3 linked regions of the Drosophila melanogaster genome follow. The gene in region 2 interacts genetically with the main gene of each other region. Each region holds a gene or a part of one and is shown on either strand. Other genes may lie near its edges.

What was found.
Region 1: of rno (region 2) and Rbf, changing one enhances a phenotype caused by changing the other (phenotypic enhancement), as found in Drosophila melanogaster (one study listed by BioGRID).
Region 3: of rno (region 2) and aos, changing one enhances a phenotype caused by changing the other (phenotypic enhancement), as found in Drosophila melanogaster (one study listed by BioGRID).

Annotation. Positions count from the first base shown.
Region 1 is NC_004354.4:799,425-803,255, reverse strand, and holds the start of Rbf (Retinoblastoma-family protein), read left to right. Parts: upstream 1-1,776; 5' UTR 1,777-2,470; coding exon 2,471-2,659; intron 2,660-2,738; coding exon 2,739-2,878; intron 2,879-2,939; coding exon 2,940-3,128; intron 3,129-3,190; coding exon 3,191-3,545; intron 3,546-3,608; coding exon 3,609-3,831. Other genes in the region: CG13359 (uncharacterized protein), read left to right, coding at 1-1,311.
Region 2 is NT_037436.4:198,075-201,905, forward strand, and holds the start of rno (rhinoceros), read right to left. Parts: upstream 1,689-3,831; 5' UTR 1,389-1,688; intron 1,014-1,388; 5' UTR 688-1,013; intron 616-687; 5' UTR 514-615; coding exon 62-513; intron 1-61. Other genes in the region: mri (mrityu), read left to right, coding at 2,398-2,986, 3,097-3,294, 3,367-3,684, 3,743-3,831. UniProt on the Drosophila melanogaster protein: May function as a negative regulator of the EGFR/Ras/MAPK signaling pathway during eye development.
Region 3 is NT_037436.4:16,481,617-16,485,216, forward strand, and holds the start of aos (argos), read right to left. Parts: upstream 2,035-3,600; 5' UTR 1,461-2,034; coding exon 1,065-1,460; intron 1-1,064. UniProt on the Drosophila melanogaster protein: Regulates cell determination; development of ommatidia and optic lobe. Is a signaling molecule involved in the process of axon pathfinding in the eye. Part of the Ras pathway regulating programmed cell death in pupal eyes; activated by lozenge (lz).

The sequences.
Region 1 (3,831 bases), on a different chromosome or scaffold from region 2:
TGTCCAGAGCACTTCGATGTCGCAACCGTCGTGGGGGTAAATTCGCATACCGGAAAACTAATCACCCACTTTAATCACCGGAAACTGGGGGATGTGGACCTGGCGCCTCACGCGTTGCTTAGCCGGCGAGACAAGTTCATGGACATTTGCCAGAAACAAGTAATGACGAGTCAGGGCTGCTTGGCGTCAGAGGGAACACCAATCCCCGCCGACCTGGAGGTCACTTGGCAGAGTCATAGCATCATTGACTGCCTTGCTCTCCGCAAGGTGCGTGCAGAGATGAATTTAGCTGATCAGAAGGCGGCCAAGAATCTTGTGGATCGCGTTGAGGTGCACCACAAGACTTTGCAGACGGAGGAGGCGGAGCGAAGGAAATTGATTATTGACAAGGCAAATTCTGCGAGGAACTTGACTATTGACAAGGCAAACTCTGCGAGGATCTTGGCTATTGACAAGGCAACCTCCGCTAGGAAATTGACTATTGACAACTCAACCTCCGCGGGGACATTGACTATAGACAAGGCAACCAACGCGAGGAAATTGACTATTGACAAGGGAACCTCCGCGAGGAAATTGACTATTGACAAGGCAACCTCCGCGAGGAAATTGACTATTGACAAGGCAACCTCCGCGAGGAAAATGACTATTGACAAGGCAAAATCCACGAGGAACTTGACCATTGACAATGCAACCTCCGCGAGGAAATTGACTATTGAGAAGGCAACCTCCGCGAGGAAAATGACTATTGACAAGGCAAAATCCACGAGGAACTTGACCATTGACAATGCAACCTCCGCGAGGAAATTGACTATTGAGAAGGCAACCTCCGCGAGACGTTTCTCTAGACCAAAAAGATATGTCAGCGGGTATATTTCCAAAAGAAAATCGATCGGAAAAACGGAGTCTTTGTCGCGCGGTGCATACATCCCCGATCCTGAGCTCAACCGCGCGATAGCCAAGTACGGTGTGTCTGCTAGTCAACCGTTCAAAAGACAGCATTGCCTTGTGCTGGAGAAGCATCCCGACAGAACCCAGATCCCGAACTCCAGAACCAACACCAGTGGCTGTAAGTCCGACGGCTCTTCAACACCCATTTGGAGAAGTGCTAGAACTGGTGCGGATCAGAATACGCAGGCAGAGAGTTCTGACTCTTTCAATTCCTCCAATTCCTTCGAGAGCTCCAGTCTGGCCAGCGATTCTCAAGAAAACCACGAGCTGTCCACGGCGGCAGGTCTGACGGCGGCCTTTATGCGGCGACACATGCTATTCCACCTCCTGGCCAGGAGGTTCAGAAGACGGTATCTACGTTAGCCACGTCGTAGCTCGGGTCGTATGTGCTGCGACAGCAAGTTCTCTAAATTGTATAGTGTATATGTATGTATGTTAGTAGCTGAATCGCGAAGAATTCCCGCGAATTTCCATAAAGTTCAAAGCAGTATTTAAATTTGCGGCTATCGATTACAACTAGCTATATCGCCGATGTGCAATGCTCTTGAACGCTAACCAACACTGTCAGTTTACCGCACACATGCAAATAGCATTGTGCATTGCAAATAAATTATATGTGTACACATATTTTTGTCAATTATTTCGTTCTAATTCATTTTAGGGTCCCCCAATTTAGGTATGTATGCAACACGACATACTGCTTGCAGTCACTGCATAACTCGCCAAGCACTGTAGTAATACCACCCCACCACGTTTAAACTGGCCGAATGCGCGCGTCGGTGTGACCGCATGGCTTTGCTGGCGAAATACCGGCCGCCCAACTAAAAATCCATTAACTTGTATTAACGTGTCAGACTCTGACTATGCAATCGCAATTGCAAAATCTTTAAGTAGTGGCAATAAATTAGTTTTCCTTCTGCACAAGTCCATCCCTAGGGCCACATCGTCCGCGCAGCCCTAGAAGTGGATAGTTCGAACGCGGAGTGGATCACACGCACCTGCCCGCCGCAACTAGTCAAGTTTCCCGCGTTTTCCATGGCGATTAAGTTGTGAAATAGTTATTTTGTTAATGTGTTTTAACCAACAACCGTGGCCGTGGTGTGGTCCTGGCTAATCGCAGCATCCCAGCGCTGTTTGTTCTGTCCCCTCGCCTGCTCTTTTGTTGTGTTCCTCAGAAAAGGGTGTATCGCGAACACACACACACGCGACAAACACTCGCACACAAACACACACGCCCAAATCATTTCGGCGGGAAACTTCATTATTTCTGTAATTAAGTGTAAGCTCTCGCAGTTACATGTCCGCGAGGAGCGCGGCGGCAAGCGCAGCATACACCGGCAGCCACTAGGCGCCAGGCCACTAGACGTAAACAGCGGCGCCAGGCCCGCAACGCCCCGGTTAGCCGGCTAGCTCCAATTCAGGCGCCTCCGTCTCCGATTTCCGACTCCAGGCTGTCGCCAGAAGCAGCGGCCGCCGCTGCAAGCATACGCAATCAGCCGGGACAGAGACATCATTCGCAGACATGAGCGAGCCTGACCCGCAGGAACTGGGAGCTGAGGTGGTCAGCGGATTGGTGGCGACCAGCGACGACCGCCTGGAGATGATCAACGCCGAGTACACGAACCTATGCCGGGATCTAAACATGGATCGGCAGACAGAGCTGCAGGGCTACGAGACGTACTTAGAGGTGTCCCAGAGGTGCTCCATGGAGGTGAGCTTCGAAGTGGCAGCAGTAGCCTCCAACCTAACGTCCTTTCTTTCATTCTTTCTGTGCATTGCCTGCCTAAAAGGGCACAGCCAGCCACTGGATGTGCTGCGCCATTTACACGGCCTGCCGAAGAACCAGCACACCCACGGTGACTGGCCAGAATGCAGTGGTCAAGGGTAATTGTGTGTCCTTAAACAATTTGCTGCGCTGCTGCAAGATGAGGTGGGTTGCCGTTTATGCCTGCAGTTTCACACCTAACCATTTCCACAATCCCCACCCACAGCATCTACGAGTTCAAGACCAAAATTAAGCAGTGGTGCGACATGGCCAACCTGCCTCAGGAGTTTGTCAACGAGATTGAGGATCTGGACCGCAAGTTCAGCATTACATTCATGCTGCACAAGCGTTTCCGCATTATTATGGACATGATCTTCTCGTGCCCGCCCAACGAGAAGAAGCACTCCAAGTACATGTGCGTATATCATCATGTCAGCCTGACCCCGTGTATATAAAAAGCTTCCCTCTTTGGAACAGTTCTCTGCATGGCAACCACGCCCACGGAAAGTGCTCGTACATCAAGCTGGACGACATCTGCTGGCGCCTGTTTCTCTGCGCCAAGAACCAGAAGCCGAGCAACACCGTGGACCTGGTGACATCCTACAATCTGATGATTTGCTGCATAGACCTGATATACAACAATGTGCTGGCCGAGAAGCGCACCGATCTCATCAACCCCAAATTCGAGGGCCTGCCGAGCAACTGGACGGAGCTGGACTTTCGTCACAATCCGCACTGCATTTTGTCCAACTTCTGTGACATGACCGAGGAGGCTAAAGCCATGAAGGCCACCACTTTCCGCCAGATCATGTCGAGCTTCTTTCAGGCTTCGGTAGGAGTGCCGTTTCGGATTTCCATTAAAACAATTAATTTGTTCTATTTTCATTTCGACCAGACCATCTACGGCAACAAGGACACTATGTTAGGCCTATTGGCTAACGAAAACTTCGAGCGCAACCTAAAGTCCCTCAACATCAGCTACGAGCAGTACGTCCTCAGCGTCGGCGAATTCGACGAACGCATTCTGAGTGCCTACGATGCGGGGGAACACACTGCCCTCAACGACCAGTCCCTGCGTCCGCCGGTTACTCCGCTTACCCGCAAGCAAGATCTGCCTG
Region 2 (3,831 bases):
CTGCAATTAAAATTTGAATATTATTGAATCGTTTCTAATTGGTTTGCTGGTCTGTTAATACCGGTAAAGTTCAGCTGGAGCTTCCGTTGAGCTTCGATTGTAGATGCTCGACATCTTGATGTCCGCTACAGACCGCGCCTGCCAGGAGCTACTAGAACTCGCCCCCTGCGACTTGCACTTGCTTGCCGACTTTGCCAGTTTCGTTGACTTCGATTTGCTAGTGCTGGTAGCGCCTGCCGCGGCTCTTCCTTGTCCTCCTCCCCCCGCTTCCGCCCCTGGCTCTTCATGTTTGCTTTTGCACAAAGGCAGAACTGGCACACGCTCCGATCCTGTAGCTGGACCCGATCCAGTCACTTCAGCTACTGCTGCCGTAGTGGCTCCATTAGGTGGCCTACCTTTGCGCCGCTTGGTGGGCGGCGGCTGCGGCTCAACATCCTTGCGCTGATGCTGTTGCGGCGGCGGATGGTGCGACTGGTGATGCTGCTGATTACCGCGCTTACCTCTTTGTGACATTTTTCATTGGTGTTGATTGGATATTTGTGTGTTTTTGCTTCGATTGGTACCTTGTCCCTTGTGTCTTGTGCTTGTTAGAGAACGGGTTCTTTGCTGCAAGACCTAGAAGTAAGAAGGCAAAAGCAGCTTCAATACGTATTTCACGCGATTTATTTACTAACCAAATTTACTTACTACATGCTTAAGGCCACAGTTGGCGACACCACACCGGCTGCTGCTGCTGCGCTCTCCTGGATGTGGTGCGGTCGTGATTCTTGGTGGTCCACCCTTTGTGCCCCGTGGACATGGACGCCGCTGCTGCCCCAGCCCTAATATCCAGTAGCGACGCCACTTTGCAGTCCTGTGTGCTCCGCACTTCTCCACGGGCGAGTTAGTCCACTTCCACTGCCACCTTCCGCTTGCTGCCTTTTGTTATTGTTCGTTGTTTATCCACAGACTTTTGCAAGTTTTTCTTTGGCGTTTGGCTCACTGGTTTGGATTCTCGACGAGCATTCGCTAGTCTGGTGGGAGAGAAGGCATATGTTTGTGGGTTATTCGCTTATATTAGGAGCGTTCCCAGTAAGTGTCCACATTTTCTATGCTTTCCGAAAATACACAAAAAATATAGAAAAACGTTCAAGCTGCCAATAGGTGACTGGTGCAAAACCCACAGGCGCCCTCCCGCTCGCACATAGCACGCTCGTTTAAGGGCGCGCTTACTATGCGCGTGAGTGCAAGCAGGAGGCAAGCAGGTGGCGTTCGTGTTGCATCCGCCAGCTTATACACGGCACCCAGCATACCCCTCCGACACTTCACTACTCAGAAGCAATCAAAGTTTTTGCACTTTTTTTTACACTTTTATTATAACAACTTATTTGTTATTGCTATCCGCAAACCTAGACAGCCACTCTGCTCGTCGCTAGCGCTTCCGCACGCGACACGCCCACTCAGGGCGCCACTTTCGCACTGCCCATTCTTGGGGGAGTTGGGATTTTGTTATATATTTTACATTTGGGTTTTTTGCCGCCGCAGACACACACGCCAAGCACTTGTTACTGACCGAAGACCGCTCACAGTCTTCGCATTTCGTGAAGCGTCCGTATCAAACTCACGTTTCCCAAAATCGCATTTGCGTTCGCAGGAATTACAATTCTTTTGATTATTTATTTTATTTTTGAGCAAAAATTATTTTTCTCAGATCGCCATGATGAACGGTTGCAAATTTAAACTATCGAGTGCATTTAGTCGGTGGTCGGTATCGATACACAGCTTGGGTATATACAGAGTTGCATTCGGCCCAACGCTGTATTTTGTTTTAACAACATTTAATTAATTTCCACAGAATTTTCATATTAATTTGTATTTGAAAAAAAAAGTTATTTCCATTAAGTTAAGATATGTTAATTAAGAATTTTCTTATTATTACCTCTAAATATTATAGATTTTCTTAACTTAATAGAAGTTAATAATTATGTAACAAACAATGTCGAAATGATGAAATTACAATCTTTTTATTTTTTTAGAGAGGAATTTTTTATTCGTTAAAAAAAACCCGATAAGCTGAAAACAAACATCGCGATTGAAGATAAATATCGGTTAAAAATATGTTATTGTGATTACAGAGGAAAACTATCGACTGAGCGCACCCAGGAGCCCATCTCCAGCACCAACAAGAAAAAATATGTATATTTATAACTATATGTAAAAAGGAAAAAGTCGCGTCGCACAAAGGTAACGTGAATACTATTTAATCGGACCTCTGATGCAGCGATAAGCAGGCTTTTTTTCAACGGAGCCTCGCTAATTTGACCGCCCTCTGCCAGATTGTCTTTGTCTCTCTCGAAAAGTCGGTGGAACGGTGTTGTACTGGAATATTTGAAGAGTGGCTCATCAAACGCAACAAACATGTCAAACACTCCAAGTCTGAACAGTAGTAGTAGCAATATCAGTAGCAAGGCGCCCCTTGCCCAGAAGCAGGACACGTACAGTAGCGACAGCAGCGAGGAAGTTCTCGAAACAGCCGAGGAGCGGAGGAGGCGCATCCTGAAGGAGCGCAGCCGGCTGAACCGTCCGCAGCACAATATGTCAGGCGGAGGTGCTGTGCCCAAGCACGACATAAAATCCCCTTGCGGAGCATCTCCCAGCTGCCAGGCAACTGGTTCCGGAATGGGCCGCCTGCCGCTCCCTCCCGAAAGGATCACCATGCTGGTGGACGGTGTGCGCTTCACGGTGGAGCAATCACTGCTTACAGCACATCCCACCACAATGCTTGGCACGATGTTCGGCTCCGGCTTCCAGTTCGCTCATACCAACGAGCGCGGCGAGTACGACGTTGCCGACGGCATTTCGCACTTAGTGTTCAGAGCCATTCTGGAGTACTACAAAAGCGGTGTTATCCGCTGCCCGCCCACTGTTTCGGTACCGGAACTAAAAGAAGCCTGTGATTATCTGCTCATTCCCTTCGACGCAACCACGGTGCGCTGCCAGAACCTAAGTGAGTATAACGCGAACTATTCCTGCCAGGGCGAACCTTAGTTGTGGCCACCTCTGCTTGTTTTCCGTCTCTTTCCTTGTAACATGCCCTCTGTTATGTTTGACATAAAGGAGGCCTTCTCCACGAGCTTAGCAACGAAGGAGCGCGACAACAATTTGAACTCTTTCTTGAGGACCTAATTCTGCCCCTCATGGTGGCCTCGGCGCAGCGCGGGGATCGAGAGTGTCACGTTGTGGTGCTCCTTGAAGACGATATGGTCGAGTGGGATGAAGAGTTTCCGCCTCAGATGGGCGAGGAGTATTGTCAGAGTGAGTGTATTTAAAAAATGTGTTTGCATTAGTATCACGGAAGTGGAAGCAACACTAACATTTCTAACGCAGCCGTGCACAGCACTGCCATGCACCGATTCTTCAAGTACATCGAGAACCGCGATGTGGCCAAACAGGTGATGAAGGATCGCGGTCTGAAGAAGATACGCTGTGGCATAGAGGGATACCCCACCCACAAAGAGAAGATCCGAAGGCGTCCCGGTGGACGGGCTGAAGTCATCTACAGCTATGTGCAGCGACCTTTCATCCACATGTCCTGGGAGAAGGAGGAAGCAAAGAGTCGCCATGTTGATTTCCAATGTGTAAAATCCAAGTCTGTAACGAATCTAGCGGAAGCAAATGCAGATCCGCCACTGGAATTGGACGCAAGTGCGTAAGGCTCGAAACGGAGAGTAACAGCTCCCTTAAAGCCCAAATTCGTTTTCAGGTGGAAATCCGATTCCCCCTATAGCAGTGGCTAATCCGCATCCCAATAACGCTGAGCTCGCTGCCGGTATGGCCGTCGCACCCGCAGCT
Region 3 (3,600 bases), about 16 Mb from region 2:
GCCTCGTAGAAACATCAAGCAAGAATTCGATTTTCAGGGCGTGTTCTGTCGTATGACATTTGACATAATAGATATACGATACATGATATATGACCGATCCAAGCCCCTCTCTTTCTCAATGGACACTTGATTTATGGCCAGATCGGGAGTGAGAACAATGGAACCGCGGTGACCTATGATCTGAATTCGCATTGTAGCGGATTTAAGGGGAAAGATAACGGCAAGAACTTTTTGGTGTACCGTCGGCTTAGTCATGAATAGCCAGCATTGAACTCTTGACCCGCCCGGCTAATTGGTTTTGGTATCGCTCATATCGTTCGGTTGTATGGCAATTGCGACTTTAATTGATCAAATGCGACAGATCAGTTGATGTGTTGAGCTCTCCGACTGCAAACAACTTTCATTTTTCATCTAGAGCGAGTGTGGCCGCTGCAATTAAATGTGCCATATGCGTATGGTGATATATGAATAGTGGTTTTGTGGGTGTCAAGTGTAATGGCCATAGGGCGGCTGCTAAATATAGACAGAGTTTTCTGAACAAAAGCAAAAAAATATGTAAAAATAACGAACTAAAACTCGGACCCAGCCCAAAAAAGTTGCATTGCAAAACCTGCTGTGCAGAGAAAGAAATCGTAGGTTGACTTGCGCGATGACATTTAAGATATATCTATGCTATAATACATTTGACTGATTAATTGATTAAGCTACAAATCCGAAGATAAGAGACTGTTTTGAGAGTTCTTTGATAAATTGGTATGGCAGACCGTTAGCCGATCTGCTTTTCCCTAATTTGACTGAAATTATCTAATCGATCAATATTGTTTTCTGTGTAGATGCTGCTGTTGCCGTTGATACCGCTGGCGTGGGCATTTTACAAATGGCAACCAGTTGAACAGGTGTCTGCTGACGTTGTTGCCTGCATTATGCAACCTGCCATTGCCAGTTGTTGGTTTCATTGGTACCTTGTGTTTTATTTTATGCTTTTTTACTTAGCCCCACCGATCAATGCAAACATGCAATTAGCCAGGCTAATCAAATGAATTTAGTACTTGCTAGCTACTCACCCCCACTTGGTAGAGGATGCGCACATCCCGATCGCCGTGCTTGCCGCCGATGATGCTGCGATGCTGCTGTTGTTTCTGCAACATTTGTCGCGCATGTCGCCGCGACTCGGCGAGATCCTTCTCCGCAGCCGCTGTGGAGGAAATGCTCACAACGGTCAGTTGCTCGGTGGCGGGCTTCACTGTACTGCTCGCCACTCCAGTTGCTGCCGCTGCTCCTGAAATATCTTTGGCATCGTAGACGACGGTGTACTGCAGACTCTTGTGCTTGTCCGCTGTGGATGTGGTCGGCGTAATCTCGAACACCTCGAGCGGCAGTCGCGTGCCGCCGACAGCAACGGCAGCGGCGGTCAGCAGCAACAGCAGCATGCACGGCAGCAACATCAATGTCGTAGGCATGATTTATGACTCTGACTCTGGCTGGGATCTCTGGATGTTCGAGAATCTGGATCTGGATCTTGTATTTGGATCTTGGGATCTTTCCGAATCTCCGTGCGTGTTGTTTTCTTGCGGTTTGTAATTGACACTCAATGAATTTTGTAATTGAATTCGAATCAAATCCAATCGAATCGAATCGAATCGAGTCGAATCAGTGTTCTCGCTCTATCTCACTCGCTCGCCCAGAACCCATGGCTTACATGCACACACACACTGGCAGAAACGAACTCTACAAATCAGGTTTCAAATCGAACGATCGATTGATTTGTGGCGAATGTCACTCGAAATTATTGGATATTTCATTCACTGCAATCGGTCGGTGGTCGGTAGTTTCTGTTTGCTATTTAGTAACTTAACACCCGCGACGTCGCTGTCTCCGGTGGCCTTTCGTCTCGTCTCGTTTTCGTCTTTTCTTTCGCTCCTGGAACGTATACCCAATGGTACCGATGCTATATTATATCGTATCGTATCGCCTCGGTTACTCTGCCCTCGCTCTATCGTTGTTCGCTCGACCAACTCACTTTTCGAACTGATCAAACAGAAAATCCAAAAACGAACAGCGCGCGGCGAACGAGAGCCGTTGAAGCCGGCAGAGAAGTGCGCTGCTCGCGTCGCTGCCGGTATGTGCGTGTCTGTGCACTGAGAGAAAATGCTCGATTAAACAGAGAAATTAATAGTAATATAAAAAAAAAAAAAATTTGTTTATTATTCTCAATTCAATAAAATGTAATTATTTATTATATTGGTTGTATAAGAATTTTTATAAAGTAGTATAAATTTTCAATCAAATAAATATGTACATCTAACAAAAAATGTTATTATCTTATAACAAAGAGGTAAAATCATAAGTAGTACGAAATCTTTAAAAGAGAAAGTGTGTTACGCAAAAAGTATTCAAAGCAGTCTTTTGAACCCACTGTTGTCTTTTCACATATTTGGTCAACCGAATTTGTTCCCAGTGCATGAGCGGCAGCGTCCGAACGTGAGAGAACACGAAAGAGAGTGGGCTGGATATGAATGAATGAACATGTTGTTGCTGCCTTTTTCCGCTGGTGGTTGCAGCATCCATTGCTGCTGCGCCTGTGTGCGTGCGCGCATCTGTGAGATGCATCTGTGACTAAGCGCGGCTGTATTGGTGAGAGCGAGCGGATGGCAAGGTGTCTCTGGCTCGCGTGCTTGGCTTAAAGCAAAAGCAAAAGCAACAACGAAATAAAATACAACAAAATAACAAAAAATTAAAAGGGGACTTCGCAGCCAAGCGGCTCTTGCCGCTTCCGTTGCATCCTTTCGGCCGTTTTTGCTGCCGCCGTGTTGTTTTTGTCATTTTTACTACGGCACCGGAAACTAATTCCTGCCTTAGCCACAACGACCTGGACTTGGGCCGCCGCCTCCTCCTGGCCTTCATCGTTCAACCTTCTCCTTTTGCCATGGTTTCATGTTTGGGCCTTATTCTTGTAGCGCATGCCAAAAAAAGAACAACTGGAGAAGAATCCAGAAAAGAGTTTAACACAAAAGGAAGATCGAGCTTAAAGTCGATGCTTTAAATGCCCTTCGAAACAAAGCTTTAGTGGCGAACTGGCTTATAAAATCGGCTAATAAACCGCTAATTACCTTGGTAATTACAGATCATAAAGTTTAAATGGATTTGGGTCTATCAATAAACTTTTATAGTAATACATGCTTGAGAGTTGCAAGAAAATGTAATGTTTATTTAACACCAATTTTTATACTACAATACATTTATAATGTAAAAGTAATGTAACAATGTTAAAAAAAAAGTTTCGTATTTTTGGCGTGCCTTTGATAACTTGATTGTCAATTTGTGAGGTTTTCAAAAAAGTCTGTTTCGTTAGTCTTTTTTTTTTTGTTTGGGTTGTTCCTTTGTGATTATTCCTTTCAATATTCTTCTAAAAAAAATATGAATGCCCCAAGATAGTGTATATGGAGAGTACGAGAGAGACCTGGAAACGATCTTCATCTCCATCTTCAGCTTGGAAGTTCAAGCGAAAAACGCGCGAGGTTCGGCAGAAAGCCCGCCAATTTTATGGGCCAAACCCGATAAGATTTCATTTGTTTACGAGTTACCTTGAGACGCGCCAGA